Arabidopsis thaliana: one gene and its partner. The protein of the gene in region 1 interacts with the protein of each later gene in a pairwise test. Each region holds a gene or a part of one and is shown in the gene's direction. Other genes may lie near its edges.

What was found.
Region 2: the proteins of MGT4 (region 1) and AT1G70780 interact in a two-hybrid assay, tested with the Arabidopsis thaliana proteins (one large-scale study listed by BioGRID).

What each region holds. Positions count from the first base shown.
Region 1 is NC_003074.8:6,816,636-6,825,327, forward strand, and holds MGT4 (magnesium transporter 4), read left to right. Parts: upstream 1-4,290; 5' UTR 4,291-4,333; coding exon 4,334-4,765; intron 4,766-5,051; coding exon 5,052-5,264; intron 5,265-5,342; coding exon 5,343-5,471; intron 5,472-5,617; coding exon 5,618-5,778; intron 5,779-5,854; coding exon 5,855-6,086; intron 6,087-6,181; coding exon 6,182-6,469; 3' UTR 6,470-6,832; downstream 6,833-8,692. Other genes in the region: AT3G19620 (Glycosyl hydrolase family protein), read right to left, coding at 1-452, 550-817, 897-1,286, 1,377-1,673; AT3G19630 (Radical SAM superfamily protein), read right to left, coding at 2,041-2,283, 2,373-2,472, 2,583-2,752, 3,105-3,209, 3,342-3,476, 3,554-3,664, 3,785-4,039; AT3G19650 (cyclin-like protein), read left to right, coding at 6,908-6,978, 7,293-7,536, 7,832-7,880, 7,995-8,539. UniProt on the Arabidopsis thaliana protein: Magnesium transporter that may mediate the influx of magnesium.
Region 2 is NC_003070.9:26,693,433-26,700,583, reverse strand, and holds AT1G70780 (uncharacterized protein), read left to right. Parts: upstream 1-4,191; 5' UTR 4,192-4,608; coding exon 4,609-4,843; intron 4,844-4,934; coding exon 4,935-5,122; 3' UTR 5,123-5,418; downstream 5,419-7,151.

The sequences.
Region 1 (8,692 bases):
TTGGTCACCACATTTGACATCTTTACACCCTGGCTCGTAAACAATTTTTTCCGGTACATACTTTTGCAGCCCTTGTATAGGGCTTGTGTACTTACAGGGTACACCTGCGTAGTTACTAATCATGACCTTTGTAGCGTTTGCATTTGGCCCTATAACCGCAAGTTTCTTAACCGTGGTCTTCGGTAACGGAAGATCTCCTCTGTTCTCAAGCAGAACAATCCCCTGTTTTGCGGCTTCTAACGCAAGCATTTGATGATCCTTGCTGCAAACATCAGACGGACCAAGATTACCAAAAGGAAGCGACTTTGGATCTCCATCGAAGAATCCGAGCCTCATGAGAACAATGTAGTTGTAAATCAGCGCTTCATCAACATCTGATCCGTTCAGTTTCTTAAGCTTCACTGCATTCTCTGTGTACTTACCTAGAAAATCTCCACAGTTCATGTTCAAACCTGTTTCCAGACAAAACAACATATTTTACTTCTCAAAGATCAAAATGACATATCTAATGTAATAATTGTTTTGAGATGATCATCTAAAGATTTTTGCCTGCTTTGAGGGCGAGAGCAACTGCATCTTCACGTGTCTTGGTGTAATGAATGTCGTTGAAATAGACCTGGATGGAATCACAATCCGAAACTATGTACCCGTCAAGACGCCATTGGCCACGGATAACTCCACGAAGAAGATTAGGGTCTGCACAAGTTGGGATACCATTAACTCTGTTGTAAGAACACATTACGCTGCTCACATCTCCTTCCTCTACACAACTCTTGAATGGCGTCTGATACGTGTCTTCCAAGTCTTGCTTCGTTACCTTCCCACCAAAACAATAACAAATCCATCAACATTAAGGTCAATTATAAGGTCTTGAAACTTACGTATTTATATATTACCTTGGCATCAAAGTGGAATCTATCGATGCCTTTCCAGTTATCAAGATCATAAGCTGTGTAATGCTTGCAACAGCTTGAAACCTTTAGCCGCCGTGATTTACCGGCGTCGTGAACGTCTTGTAAGCCCTTAACGTAGTTCACAGCGTACTTCGAAACAACGAGAGGATCCTCTCCTGGTGTCTCTTGGCCTCGACCCCATCTCGGATCTCTGAAGACGTTAACGTTGGGACTCCAATAGGTGAGTCCAGCTAGTCCTACGTTGTGCATCGCTCGAGCCTCCGTCGATACCACTTCTCCCATTTTTAGCCACAACGATGTGTTAAAGCTAGCCGCCGTTAATATTGTCGCCGGGAAACTCGTCGCTCCAGGCACCGTCCCGTTGAAATGCACCTTAAGAAACAACTCAAAACGTTAGCGTTTTCATTACATAACAACTCATGTATGTTCGTATTCATCTATATACAGTAATGATGTTTTTACCCCTGGTCCAACGTCGGAGACGCCATGGAGAGCTTCCGACCACCACTCGTACGGCGGAACACCGAGCCTTGGAACTCCTGTGGCTTTGTTTACGAGTTGCTGGACTTTTTCCTTAAGGGAGAGACGTGAGACCAAATCTTTGGCACGTGCTTCATACGACAATGAGACGTTGCAGAAACCATACTTAGCCGTCGCTGGGGCACTTATGTCACACGCAAAGTTCTTTTGAGACTCGCAAAGTGATGAAACTAGAGCTATGATTAGCAGAGAGAGACGCACAAATCTTCTAATACTCATCTCTCTGTTTTTTTTACTCTTATGGAATAGAAGACAGAGTGAGGAGCTAGTTTTATAGGCGGGAAGAGAAGCTAATTAGCTACTATTTACTTCATTAAAATTAAAGTTTAACATTTACTTCCAACTTTAACGATGACATAACATCACTTGTTGGTGAATATTTTATAAGAGAAGTTAAACCTCCATGTGATAGTGTGGAAGGACCAAGGACCATCTCTGTTTGTCTTGCATATAAGAGTGAGCCAAGTGTTTTCCACAAAGTGATGAGAGGACAAAATGTGAAGTTTAAGAAAAGGGTTTTGAAGAGTGGCTTCAAAGATACTACACAACCATTCCAAATGTCTGTTTCATGTCTCTGGTCCTAAAGTTAGAGAAGCAGATCTTCTATGTCTCTAAGTTCCACAGTTCCAGGAGTCTTTTTGATGTCTGGTTGGTTCACCACTAGCTGACCGCAAGCGCCGCTAATATCCTGACCCATTTCTTTGCGAATTGTAGTCCGGATCTTGTATGTTTCCCTCAGGATTTTCTGGAATCTTGACACGCCTTGTATGCTGCTTGTTTCGAATTGGCTTGTGGATCCAATTGGATTAAATGGTATCAAATTTATGACCTGTTCAAGAAAAGAGCACAGAGTTTCCATAAAAAATATCATCAGATAATTGCAGAACCTTTAAGAGTATTAAGACATCGAAGATTTACCACTTGAAATGTCTTTAGCAATTCGCCTAGTAGATGAGCGTGCTGCTCTTGATCATTTACTCCATCAAGCATTATGTACTCAATGAAGATCTTTTGTTGACTGTTAAATCCAATGACAATGTGGCATAATGTTATAATCGTCAATGTAACTGAAGGGATTGTGGTTTTAATATTTAACAGCAACGAACCAGTCAAGAGTACATGAACTACCTGTTCTTTTGGAAAGTTTGAAGTGCATCCATAAGCTTTTGTAAAGGAAAGGCTCTAGCTGCTGGCATGATCTGGCAGCGGATTTCTTGAACTGGTGCATGGAGGGATACTGCTAAACTTACACCGGGTAGATCATTGTGTAGCTTGTTAATTGCGTGAACAATTCCGACCTATGCAAATGACATTAGGATACAGGGAAATTTATTTGCTAACTAGTAAAAAAAAGTGTCAACACAGGCAGCATTGCATGATTTAGATTTATGCCTGGAATATACGGTACAAGCATTACGGAAGGACAAGGAAATCAGAAGAAAATCCCAAAACACCAAAATTTAAAAGTAACCAACTAGACAAAAAAAGCTGAAAGATGTCTTGGAAGCTGCATACTGCGAGGTTTAATGGATTGAAGTTTATCTATCAGTTCCCTTTATCAAATTCCATAATCTAAAGTATTCCTACAAAATTCAGTGAATAAGTTTCTCTGTTTTACGAATGTTTCAAGGTAGCTTTCTGAGTACTTACAGTTGATATGGTAATTCTTTTGGGCGACAGCTGAAATGGTTGGTTTAACATGACACGAACAGCTTCAACAACAGCATTGTAGTTATTTAAAGGTTCTCCCATTCCCTGATCACAATCATCAAACCAAGGCAACAACTGGTGAATAAAATTCATCAATGCAGAGTATATAAAATAAATAACCATAAGGCAAGGTGCACATAGTGTAGATAAAATGCAATAACAGAAGCAGAAATATACCATGAAAACGATGTTGCGTATATCAGCAATGCGAGAGGCGTGAACAAGCTGCTCCACAATTTCTCCAGATGTTAAATTGCTTTTAAATCCCATGGTACCAGTAGCACAGAATGTGCAACCCATCTTACAACCAACCTATTGATAAATACTTTCACATCACATGTCTTTCATTCGATAAAACCAAGATAACATTGCGTGATAAAAATCAATACCTGAGATGAAATACATAACGTAGATCTTATACCTCCAGGACGTGGTTTCCCTCCTAACATCCCCAACCGAGTATCGTATCTCATTACCACAGCTTCCACAAAAGCTCCATTCTTCAATTTCAAAACCAAAAGCAAGAATCCAATATGAGTTCGTCAGGAAACAGAGACATTACAAGTTTTTCAGAATCCATAAAAGCAATGTGTTGTATACAGTAACAGAGTATAGAGTACCTGGAGCTTGATGAGAAGCTTTGAGGTGGTGCCATCGGAGGAATGAAATAGCGAGTGAAGAGACGAAGTAAGAGTCTTGAACTTGGAATGGAGAAGAGAGTATGCAGCGGAAGGCAATGAAGGAATCTCGTCCCAAACGCAATCAGGATTCTGAATTACATACTTCCAGATTTGAATCGCGAATTTAGGGTTTATTCCCGCTGATTCAAATTCCGATTTGATTTCCGAAGCATCGAACACCGATTTCAACTTCATCGACTCTTCCTTGGGAATTCTCCGCTCGCCGTCGCCGATTTTAAAAGCCCTAAACTTTTAAAGCAAATCCCCTCCGTCACAACAAAAATTCAAAGAAGAAGCTAAAACCGGTTTGGTTTTTGGTGGAAAATCTAAACCCGGTTTGATTTTGATATTTGGGGGAAAAGTAAAAACCGGTTTGTCTTAACCGTTTTTGTCCTTTGTGGTGGACGAGCCGGAATATAAATTCCCCAATTTTCACTTCCAACATTCCTCAGCTGCTCGATCTCTCTCTGATCACAACAATCATAAGCGATGAGAGGAGCTAGACCCGATGAATTCAATTTTAGTACGAATCCATCAACGCCAAACACTGGTCAGCCGACACCGACGTACCCCGCCGGTGTTGGCGGCGGCGGCGGTGGAAGGAAAAAAGGCGTTGGCGTGAGGACGTGGTTGGTACTTAACTCGTCAGGGCAATCGGAGCCGAAGGAAGAAGGGAAACACTCCATCATGCGGCGAACGGGATTACCGGCGCGTGATCTTAGGATTCTCGATCCACTGTTGTCGTATCCATCTACTGTTTTAGGTAGAGAGAGAGCGATTGTCATCAATTTGGAGCATATCAAGGCAATCATCACTGCTCAAGAAGTTTTGTTGCTTAATTCCAAGGATCCTTCGGTCTCACCCTTTATTGATGAGTTGCAGAGGCGGATTCTCTGTCACCATCACGCCACTAAACCTCAGGTAATTGGAGAATTTAGGGTTTTCCCACTGTTCATTTGGAGCTCTTTTTGTTTATTCAAGGAGTTGGCTTTTGTATTGTCTCCTTTTGTTTGTGCCTAATTGCATTGTTTTGGAATTGGGAAGTAGAAATATTTTCGCTTGACAATGGAATATGTATATAATAGCTAATGTATTGTTGAGACATGGTTGACTATTTGATTTGTGCAATGGTGATGATATGTGAAGATTATGGTTGTCAGTTTAGCTATGGTTGACTATATACTCTCTTTGTATGTGTTGTGTAAAGGAGGAGCAGAACTCTGGGGGAGAGCCTCATACGAGGGTAGATCCTGCCCAAGGAGAAGCTGGAACGGAACAATCTTCTGGGGATCAAGGGAGTGAAGCCAAGAAGGATGCGAAGCAAAGTCTTGAGAATCAAGATGGATCGAAGGTTCTTCCATTTGAGTTTGTTGCTCTGGAAGCCTGTCTTGAAGCTGCATCAAGCAGTTTGGAACATGAGGTAAATACTTATGTTAAGGCTCTGAGACAAAGCATATTTCTTCTCTTGTTTGGTATTTGATTCATTCTTCTAATGTAGGCCTTAAGATTGGAGTTAGAGGCTCATCCAGCCCTGGACAAGCTTACTTCCAAGATCAGTACCCTTAATTTGGAGCGGGTTCGACAGATTAAAAGCAGGCTGGTTGCAATAACTGGACGTGTTCAGAAGGTGCTATGATTCGGACATTAAAATGGCTCCTTTGATATTATGATAAGGATTTATCATGTTTCCTTATAGATGTGAACCTATGACATCACCATATTCTAACCACGTTTGCCTATACTAATAACACTTTTTCTCTTTACATGTTCTAGGTGAGGGATGAGCTAGAACATCTGCTAGACGATGATGAAGATATGGCTGAGATGTATCTTACAGAGAAGTTAGCTCAGAAACTTGAGGATTCGTCAAATTCCTCTATGAATGAGAGTGATACCTTCGAGGTTGATCTTCCTCAAGGAGATGAGGATGACAGGCATGTATCAACTTTCTGAGCTTGCAGTACCTTCTATTGTTCTGATATAAGTTTAACATCTGCCTTTTTACTCCAGGCTTCCTCCCGAATTTGCATCAGAGGCTAACAGAGATGGAAGGTATCTTCAAGCAAATGATGCTCACGAGCTTCTTATGAGTACTCAAAGTGCACTTAGCAGAAATAGCCGTGGGACTCACACAAGCTCAACCCGGAGTGCCATGACCAACAAATTAGATGTGGAAGAGCTTGAAATGCTTTTGGAAGCATATTTCGTGCAGATCGATGGTATACTGAACAAACTATCAACAGTAAGTAAATAGACCAGATGCTTTGGTACTCTTTGTCGTGATGATATCCTTCTTCTAATACATTGTGGTTTTTGTTGTTGTTATGATGAAAAAAGCTAAGGGAATATGTGGATGACACGGAGGACTACATCAACATAATGCTAGATGACAAGCAGAATCATCTTCTGCAGATGGGTGTGATGCTAACAACAGCTACTCTGGTGATGAGCGCCTTTATCGCAGTTGCTGGTGTATTTGGTATGAATATAACCATAGAGTTGTTCACGGATAATAAACATGGTCCAAGTAGATTCATTTGGACTGTGATTGGAGGTTCTATCGGCAGTATATGCCTCTACGTTGGTGCCATCGGGTGGTGCAAGTACAAGCGCCTTCTTGAATGAGTCGACCAACAACATATTGGGAGAGGAGAATAATGTCGCATTGCCACAAATCTATTTAAGCTAACAAGACTTTTATGTATATCCTTTGTTCTTGAGGATCTTTACTACTCTCAAACCTTTTTTTATCCGTCTCCTTCACTATTTGCATTTCTTTCGATTTAATAAAAGAGCAAATTGCATAGTTTCCTTCTTGCTTATTTCGACATCAAAATTTAGATATAGACTGATTAGAGAACCGGATTTTATAATGGTATCGCAGATCGTTTCTGTGCACAATTCTAACTTATGGGGTTTTTTCTGATACTTGAAGAAATATAAGGCGGAAACTGTAATATTGAGGAAATTGACAATTTCTGACGGGAAAATTAGATAAAATGTTGCAGGCAGGCGTGGGAAGAGAGAAGAGCAAAGCCCTAAAATTTCTTCGGTGAGAGAAACATGTCGACGAGGCGAGAAAGCAGAGATTCAGACCCTAGACGTCACCGTTCTAGAATCGATCGCGAACCCAGGTCTTCTTCTTCTGGAGATTCCTGCTCTATCTTCATCTTCTATTATAACTTTGAAGCAAATAAAATTCGGTTTTGAACAACGAGGAAGCTCATAGTGTCTTTTGTCTAGAAATCGAAATGAAAGCTGAATTTAGTGTTGAAGTGATTGTTTTTTGAATCATCCTATGTTGATCTGTCTACTCTAATTTGGTCACATTCACTCTCGAACAGTGGAGATTTTTCTGAAGATGGTCAATTTTACTGATAGGCACAATTAGTTGATTTTGGTAGCTTATCACAGTTGTACAACTAATCATTTATGTTTTTGTCTTTAGCCCTAAGAGATCAAGAAGAGATGGCAAACCTGAAGCTGAACGAGTTCTGAGTAAGAAGGATTTGGATGTTAGAGATGGTACTGACACTGAGAAAAACTCACGTCAGTCTTTGAGAGATGCTCCATTGGAACTTGATGCTCATGGTTCGAGAAAAGACAGTGAGAAGAAGCACTCTGGACATCATGAGACCACCAAAGCAGCTCCCCATCTGTCACAAGTACCTCGTTCTAGACCATATTCTCAGGTTCCAAAACAACCTTGATTATTTTCCATCTGATAACGTTCTTTTTGTTACTGTCCTTAGTAGATGTGTGGTCATAGGAGGTCTTGCAAGTTTTTGATCTGCTGGAATGAAATGGCTAAAAGAGTTAATATTTGGCCATTTATCTGCTTGTTAAAAATCAATTGCTGGGTTGCTATTTACTGCATAGTTAGCCTTTAATCTGTGCTCATGTGATGGAATTATTGCATACAGTTGAATGCCTCCCAATGCTCAGTCATATGTAATCTTTGGCTTGCCTGTGCGTGTCTTATAACAGCATGATGATCGTCGTAGTGATGGAAAAGTTGATAGAAGACCAACTTCTGGTAATTCTCGCCAAATTTACTCTTTCCTTCTCTTCATTACATAAGCAAAAATATATGTCTTTAATAATATTGGTAGGTCTTATGAACATATTACTTGCTTTTAAATGTTTGAAGTGAGAGGATCGTGGAGAAGTTCAAGAGATCAGAGTAACCGAAGAGCTGGAGATGATGAGAAGTCACAGCATCGTAAAGACGAAGACAAAAGCTCATGGCGACATGATAGGTTCCGTGAGAGTGATGACACCCAAGGAGCACTCTCTAGGAAACGACCAGCCTTCAGGGAGAAGAAGATTGCAGAGGAAACTGGGAACAACACAGACAGAACAAGAACTGAGGATGGAAAAGACACTAATCTAAACAATCGCAGACAGAACGAGAGGAACTGGAGGAGCAATACGCATTCAGAAAGACATGAGAGACCAGCAATGGGAAGAGACAGAGTGTGGAACAGAGATGATGAAAGAGGCGCGGGAAGCAGACAGAGTTATCAAGCTGATAGAGACAGATTCAACGGCAATGGGCGAAGTGGGTTTAGCGGAAGCTGGACAAGGAATGAGAAGAAATGGGACCATGACTTGTTCGATGAGGCGAACAAGAGTCCAGCTAAAGCCACCGAGGAAGAACAGATAGCTAAAGTTGAAGCTTTGTTGGCTTCTTGAAGCTGCTTATGTCATGGTTTTTGGTATGTATTCACCTCTACTATTAGAATGCCTGAGTTTGCAAGTGTAGAAGATGATTTCTGAGTTTATACATATAATGAAACTCTCCTCTTTTTTTCCAAGAAAGCTGCATCGGTTTAAACTTCATAGATA
Region 2 (7,151 bases), on another chromosome or scaffold:
GAATTTACCCAAAATAAGCGGGGATTTGATGAAATTTATAATTCGAAAACGAGTTTTTGGATTATGCAAACTTACGAGAAACATCGACGCTGATTCAACGCGGAGTTCCAAAAACAAACATCGACAGATCTATCCGTTGTTTGCGGACAACCGATTTCATCGCTGCTCCTTTACTTTCTTTAGAGTTCTCTGTTTCTCATTCATCATTCATGTCGCCGATATCTTTAGTTTCTTTTTTAGTCCCTAGACTCTTATAATTTTAAAGTTAATACCAGTAATTATTGCTTAGACCCAAACTGACCAAATAAAAGATTTATTCTTTAGAGACTAATCAAATCGATTTACTGCATCTTAAGCAAAGCACAAAAAGTAATTATATTATATATTGTGAATACTATATATGGTATACAATTTTCACGTTTAATTAATATGAATGTCTTGTTTTATCATTTAAAGTATTTATCAAATTTTTAGGTTTTGACATAATTAAAAGTAGTTAAATTAATATATATGAATATAATTAGAAAATTCAGTTATTTCATAGAAACATGTTCAGTGAAAATATTTTTAGTATTCAATCATTTGACTTCTACTATTTATTTGACATATAATTAAACTCATAGATGTGTTAACATACATAACCAAACAAAATTTGTTAAAACCGTGACATATGGGCTAAACATTCCATTTGATTATCTTAAATTTTGAAATTTTAGTTTTATCACGCTAAGTTCCGTAGCAAAAATCTAATAATTGTATATAAAATTGAGTATTTGATCAATAGAATGAGTAATAAACAAAACCGATAATTTTTTAGGTATTTTGTCACGGCTGAATTAGTTTTAATTTTTTATTCGGTAAATTTTCTATTTTCTATCATGTTTTATATATATATATATATATATATACATTTTTTAATAGAAAAAATCCTTTTATACTTTTTTGAGAACGACTGAAAACTGAGGATTCTAGTTGGGTGAATTGATAATAACTAGTGGCGAATCTTAGATGCGACTGACATTTAGAGTTATAAGATATTGTATAATATGGAGCAATTGGTACGATATAGACTGAGATAAGTAAAATAACGTGTGTCATGTTGAAGTTCATGGACCTACCTCTGAATCTAGAAGAGTTGGCGTATAATTGAAATCAATGGACAATGAGGAAATTTGGGAATCTGGCTAGTCGCTAATTGAACAGACACAGAATGGCTGGTCAATAATTAAAGAGGAGCCGTTTCCCATTTTATTTGTTCGTTTCCTAAATCCTTATCGTACGTTTGAAATAAAATCATAAGATTTATATAAACACAATGGTTGTGCCAAAAAAAACAATATATGGTCAGCTCAGCTGTCACATTAATTAGGTTTTTTTCTATGGATGAAATTAATTTGGAATAAGCTATTCAAATTTTTAAATGACCTGTTATTACTTATAGGGTATAAATACTATATGCCCACTCCTTTGTCTTTGACTGAGGGAATACAAATCCTAACCGTATGTGATATTTTAAAATCTAAATGTATTAGATGTGGATAGATATACAGATATTGTAAGAAAATATCTTACATAAAATAAAACACTAACCAACATGTAAATAACTAAATATATAAACCAAAAAAAACAATTTAAATTGAAATCCAAACAAATCTAGATGTCCGTATAAAATCACGTTTAAAAATTCTAAAAGTTATCATCAGGTGTGACACATGTATAATCAATTGTATTATCCAGAACAATGAGTTGATGTCAATGACTCGATGCTATGAGCTTATGAGTAGATCATACAATGTGGACACGACAACCTAAATTTAACAAAGGATATAAAATTGTGAACTGTTTTTCTGCCAAGGATTTAAAATTCATTTAGCGTTGTAATTTGGTACACACATATACATATTAATAAAATCTACGGCATATTATTAACGAGGTAATCAACATTTAGGGTATAAATGGTTGCAAACACGATCAATCATACAATTAGGTTAACCGGTTTGTGACACAATGGGCGACTCAGGATAAGACATGGAGGAGGAGCTGATATGATAAGACGAAGTTAGGTGATATATATAGAGATGTACCAGAGATCATAATGCATATGAAATGAGATCGATAGCTGTCTTCTCTTAAACTGAATTACGACCTCTCTATACTTCTGGTCCTATCCGTGAGTCATGTGCTCTCTGTCTTTAGTCATAATATGATTTTGAATTGGCTCTGCACCATTCAAGATCATGGCCCATTATGGTTCTCTGCACCTGATTCTGTTTCCATAATAATTCCATTTACCTACAAGGCTATACATATAATTTATTAGTATAATAACCATATTATGAGAAGATTAATTATACTGTTCATACGGCAATTAAGATATCGATGCGAAAGGATTCGTGATCTTTATAGAGTTTATATTCCGCCGTTGCTAGCTAATCATGTTTATTTTGTTTCTCTAGTACTTAACGCGTTTGTCAATTTATTAAATTCGATTAGCTAAAAAAAGGATTTGACTCAATTTCATCTTTAGAGACTTACAAACCAATTTATACAAATCAATTTTTTATAGATGTTACATTTTTTCGTTCACATTAATGACAGGTTTTCTTCTTTCTATGACTTAAATCCACCTAACTCCAAAATTAAATCCCCAATTCATGTTAAAGAAGTGAATTTCAACGCTTCGAAAAGTTAATAAAAGACAATGAAGAACATACATGAAACATGCTTAGCGCCTAGCGGACGAGCCTCTTAATTAGAACCAAGTCCTTAGAAAATTACAAAATTTTAGGTATATGCCAAAAATCAAACTAAAGTTGTCGATAACCATGATAAATGTTGCGTATATCTATCTAAGAAATATCACGCCTAAAAGATAAATTTTGGTACAACTCTCCTCAACGTTCATTTTTTTAATACTCTGAAATACCACAACTATATTCCATATAGATGAGGTTTGAGGTTTCTAAGACTTTTAAAACTTAAAGTCCTAGAATTAAAGAAACGTGTAACCTTTCAAGTTTAATATGGGGGAGGTTTGGATCGGCGGAAGCTAAAAACAGCAAGGATCAGGACAACAATGGCCTAACGAATGACACGTGATGCTCTTTTCATGTTGCTCAACTTCGATAGCGACCGTTTTTCTATTTTTATCACTTTCATATTTTACCCCCAAGAAAAACAAAAACAAGCGAGTCCGATATGTTTAAGAGTCCCAACCTAAAATCTATTTTCATCACCTTCCCTATATAGCCCGCACACCGCACACAACTAATACCTCAAAATATTAATTTGTTTGTGTTTGCGCTTGTTTTTATGTTCTTAACATCAGGGTAAAATGTATCTTATGTGATTAGTTTTAGTGGGATACTCTACATAGCATTCACATGTCTATTAGTTTAAATACGTGTATGTCAATCTAATGATACAATTCAGTTCGCATGACTTGCAAAACATAAACGTAAAAAGCAACACATATGAACCACTTACCACAATTTTCGCTACAACTTTTTCCACCATATTAGCAAAAAAAACAAGGGCGAATAACATTCATTTGGTATAATCCATAACGATCAAATTATCGATTATCATCACTACATTTAGCTAGAGATTTTCTAGCCTTTCTATTTGCCAAACCTTTTAATCCATTCTTCCTTTTAAAAAAAAAATTATTTATTTCTTTTCAATTTTTATGAAAACCGTATCTTTAACTAATTGTTATCCTTGCTAATACATGCATCAACATTTTCTTAAAGTTTTTGGTAAAATTAACACATAAGAAATAAGAAATAGTTTTCTTCTTTAAACTCGTCCTTATCACAAATTTTAGATTGTATGATATTAAATTCGATCTTATCTTAAATACTTTAAATAACGTTTTATTTACTCTTCTCATATTACAAATTTACTACACTGTTGCTTTTCTATGTTTTACAATTATATTTAGGAGATCTTTTGTTGTATTATCAATACTCTTAGATATTCATTTATGTAGTTAAAATTTATTAAGATTACTTAGATTTTATTGAGCTTTGAAATATATTTTAAAAAAAAACTTTTAATTACACGTTGGTAAAAAAAAAAGACACGTATGCAAAAGCACCAAAAAAGGTAAAACCGGAAAAATTCTCAAATTTCAAAATTACCCAAAAAAGCCTTTAACCTAACCACCTTACTTTATAAACAACCTCACCGTCTCTCTTAGCTCACCAACAATCACATTCTTCTCCCATAAGAAAAAAAAAATAATCAAATCCTCCTCCTCTGCTTCACCACCAAAAAGCATATTCTTCTCTCGTCTTCTCCGGTTAATCAAAATCTCTCCGTGTGAATCGTTTGTGAATGGTGGAAACTAATCCGATCGGTGGTAAGTTTACGCTCTCCCTTTCCATCAAAAGGGCGAGCTTTTCTCTTCCTCTCTCGACATCCTCTGTTTTCGCTTTCGGATCTTGCAAAGAAGGCTGGTACTTTCGCTGCCTTGGCCTCGACCCGTGAACGATTCGCCCCTAAAATTCACAACCCGGAACCCTAATTTCCTAAAAAGTGGTTCTTTTTTTATTGATTCTGTTACTTGTGAGATTTGCTCTGTTTTTTGTTCTCTCGATTTCGAAGATGTTGCTCTACAACAAGCAGAAGAAGAACCAAAACGCTAAAGGGAATAGGATTCTCATTAGCGTTACGGTTTTGGGTAGTGCCGGTCCGATCCGGTTTGTTGCTTATGAGGATGATCTTGTTGCCTCTGTTATCGATACTGCTCTTAAAGGTTACGCTCGTGAAGGTCGTCTTCCTCTTCTTGGATCTGATTTCAATGATTTTCTTCTCTATTGTCCTATGGTTGGACCTGAAGGTAAACTAAACTCAATTCCAATGTCTTTTAGCTTTATGTGTGAATGATCTGTTTAAAGAATTGGTTGACTGATGTTGTGTTTTGATGACAGCTTTAAGCACATGGGATGCAATTGGATCTCTTGGAGCGAGGAACTTTATGCTCTGTAGGAAACCAGAGGAGAAGAAGGTTGAGGAAAGTAATGGAAGATCTGACTCTACCATTAATGGTGCAAGAAAAGGTGGAAGCTTGAAGGCTTGGATCAACAAATCCTTCAATCTCAAAGTCTCAAGCCATTAAGATTAATTTTCTTCTCTTTTTTATGAAATAATAAGACCAATCTTTGTTTTATCATCATTATGTTCTTTGTTTTTGGTTTTGATTCCAAAGTTTGTTATTTTCATCTTTCATTCATGAATAAAAGTGTCAAATTCTTCTGGATTTTGCACTGTTTCAAGTGTTGAAGTTGGTTTCTTTTGATGCTTCTTCTTGCAAGTTGTCCAACTGAGGAAATTTGTCAGCAAATTGTGTACTTTCTCTAGTACAATTCTGTATTATTCGTCTCGTAAAACACGTTTTGAAATTATTGTTACGCAATAACAGAGCTCTGATTAAAGTGATAGTTGTATACTTGTATCCGTGAAGAGGAATAATGTTAAGGTATATACTTTTTTAATGTTCTTGTCTTAAGGTGTCAAGTTGTGGAGGAGACGTCATTGTCGAGAATCCAAAATTAAAAGTGTTAAAAGTTTGATTTTGATTAGAAAAAGGTAAACAAACTTTGCGACAGAAGAAGAAAAATAGAAGAAAGTACAAATGAATGATGATAAACAACTAAAACTACTACACAAGTTCCGTACCAACTTGTACTCTTGCCTCTCTACAAGTGTTGTTGCCGTGCTTTACTTCTCTTCTTCCTTATCATGAAAACGACACACTATTTTATTTACTAGTTACTACACGTCTCGCACACCACACTTTCCTTATCCAACGCCGGAGGTTTCTACACACTTCCATAAGTCATAAAAACAACACGGTGTTTGTCTCACTAACTATGACCATTGACCAACCATGCACATCATACGATGATAACGATGATGAGATATTTTCTAAATGCCACGTGTATGTCACATTTCTCTTTTTGTTTTAAGTTCGAATTGGATCGTGGCAAGGTAATCATGGTAAATTGTTAGGCCAACGCTCTCGGTTACATGTAATCATCCTATAGTATACGATTTAACTCGAACAGAAACAAAAGAAGTATCTGTTTTTCTTCTTCTTCTGATTGAATAGTATATAACATATACTGTACTTGTTTGTTAAAACATGTTATAAATTAGTATTTAGATATTCGGAAACTAGAAATACTAGCTATGGCCAAAAGAAATAAGTTTATAGTTAGACTTACATTTATTATGGGCTTTAAGGCTTCAATCCATTGACGTCAAAAGAAAAAATCCATTAGATGTTTGATGGGCCGAATGACTAAAAACTACCGGCCTCAATTTGACCAAACTATTTATTTACACAATTAATAAATGAAATTACTTTGTGTAAAAAAAAAAAAAATGATGTACAGAATTTAAAAGTGCTCATGAGAAACATACGTTTCAGTTTTCACTCTCAAAGGAACACATTTTTGGTCAACTCAGTTCAGTTAGTTTGAAGACTTGAAGTTAAGAAAACTAAATTCAATCGAAAGGAAAAAAAAACTTTTTCACTTTTAGTTTCTTTTACTTTTTCAGACAGCTTCGTGACAAAACAATATAATTGGTTACAACTGAAAAACAATCAAAAAGAAGTTTGATGAACATATTTTGAAAAATGAGAAAGAAGGGGGTTCAAATGTTAGCTTTAAAAAGATTCATATGAGACGACAAAAAAAAAAAAAAGAAAGATTCATATGATTTTAATGTGAATGTGATCCGCAAATAAATAATCTAATGTTTTTTTAATAGTACAATGGTATCTTACAAAATTAAATGCTATTTATTCTATAGAAAACTTATTTTTGCTAAAAACGTAAGATATACATTTCTAAAAAACATAAATTTATCTAAAACCAGATTGGATTTAAAAAAAATAGTAACAAGTATTTGAACCTAAAAAAAAAAAAAAAAAACTCAGATAAACAGAAATCACCTTTAAAATTACTTGATGTTTTTTCTTCTTCTGTTAATTATACAAATGTTGTATTACTAATTATACTTAAGCTGAAATTAAACGGGATTGTGGTTGGAGACTTGGAGTGTGTGGGAAACCAATTCGCTTTCAACATGCAAGCATGTAAGTATGAATGCTCTCATTATTATCACGTTACGTTCGCCGA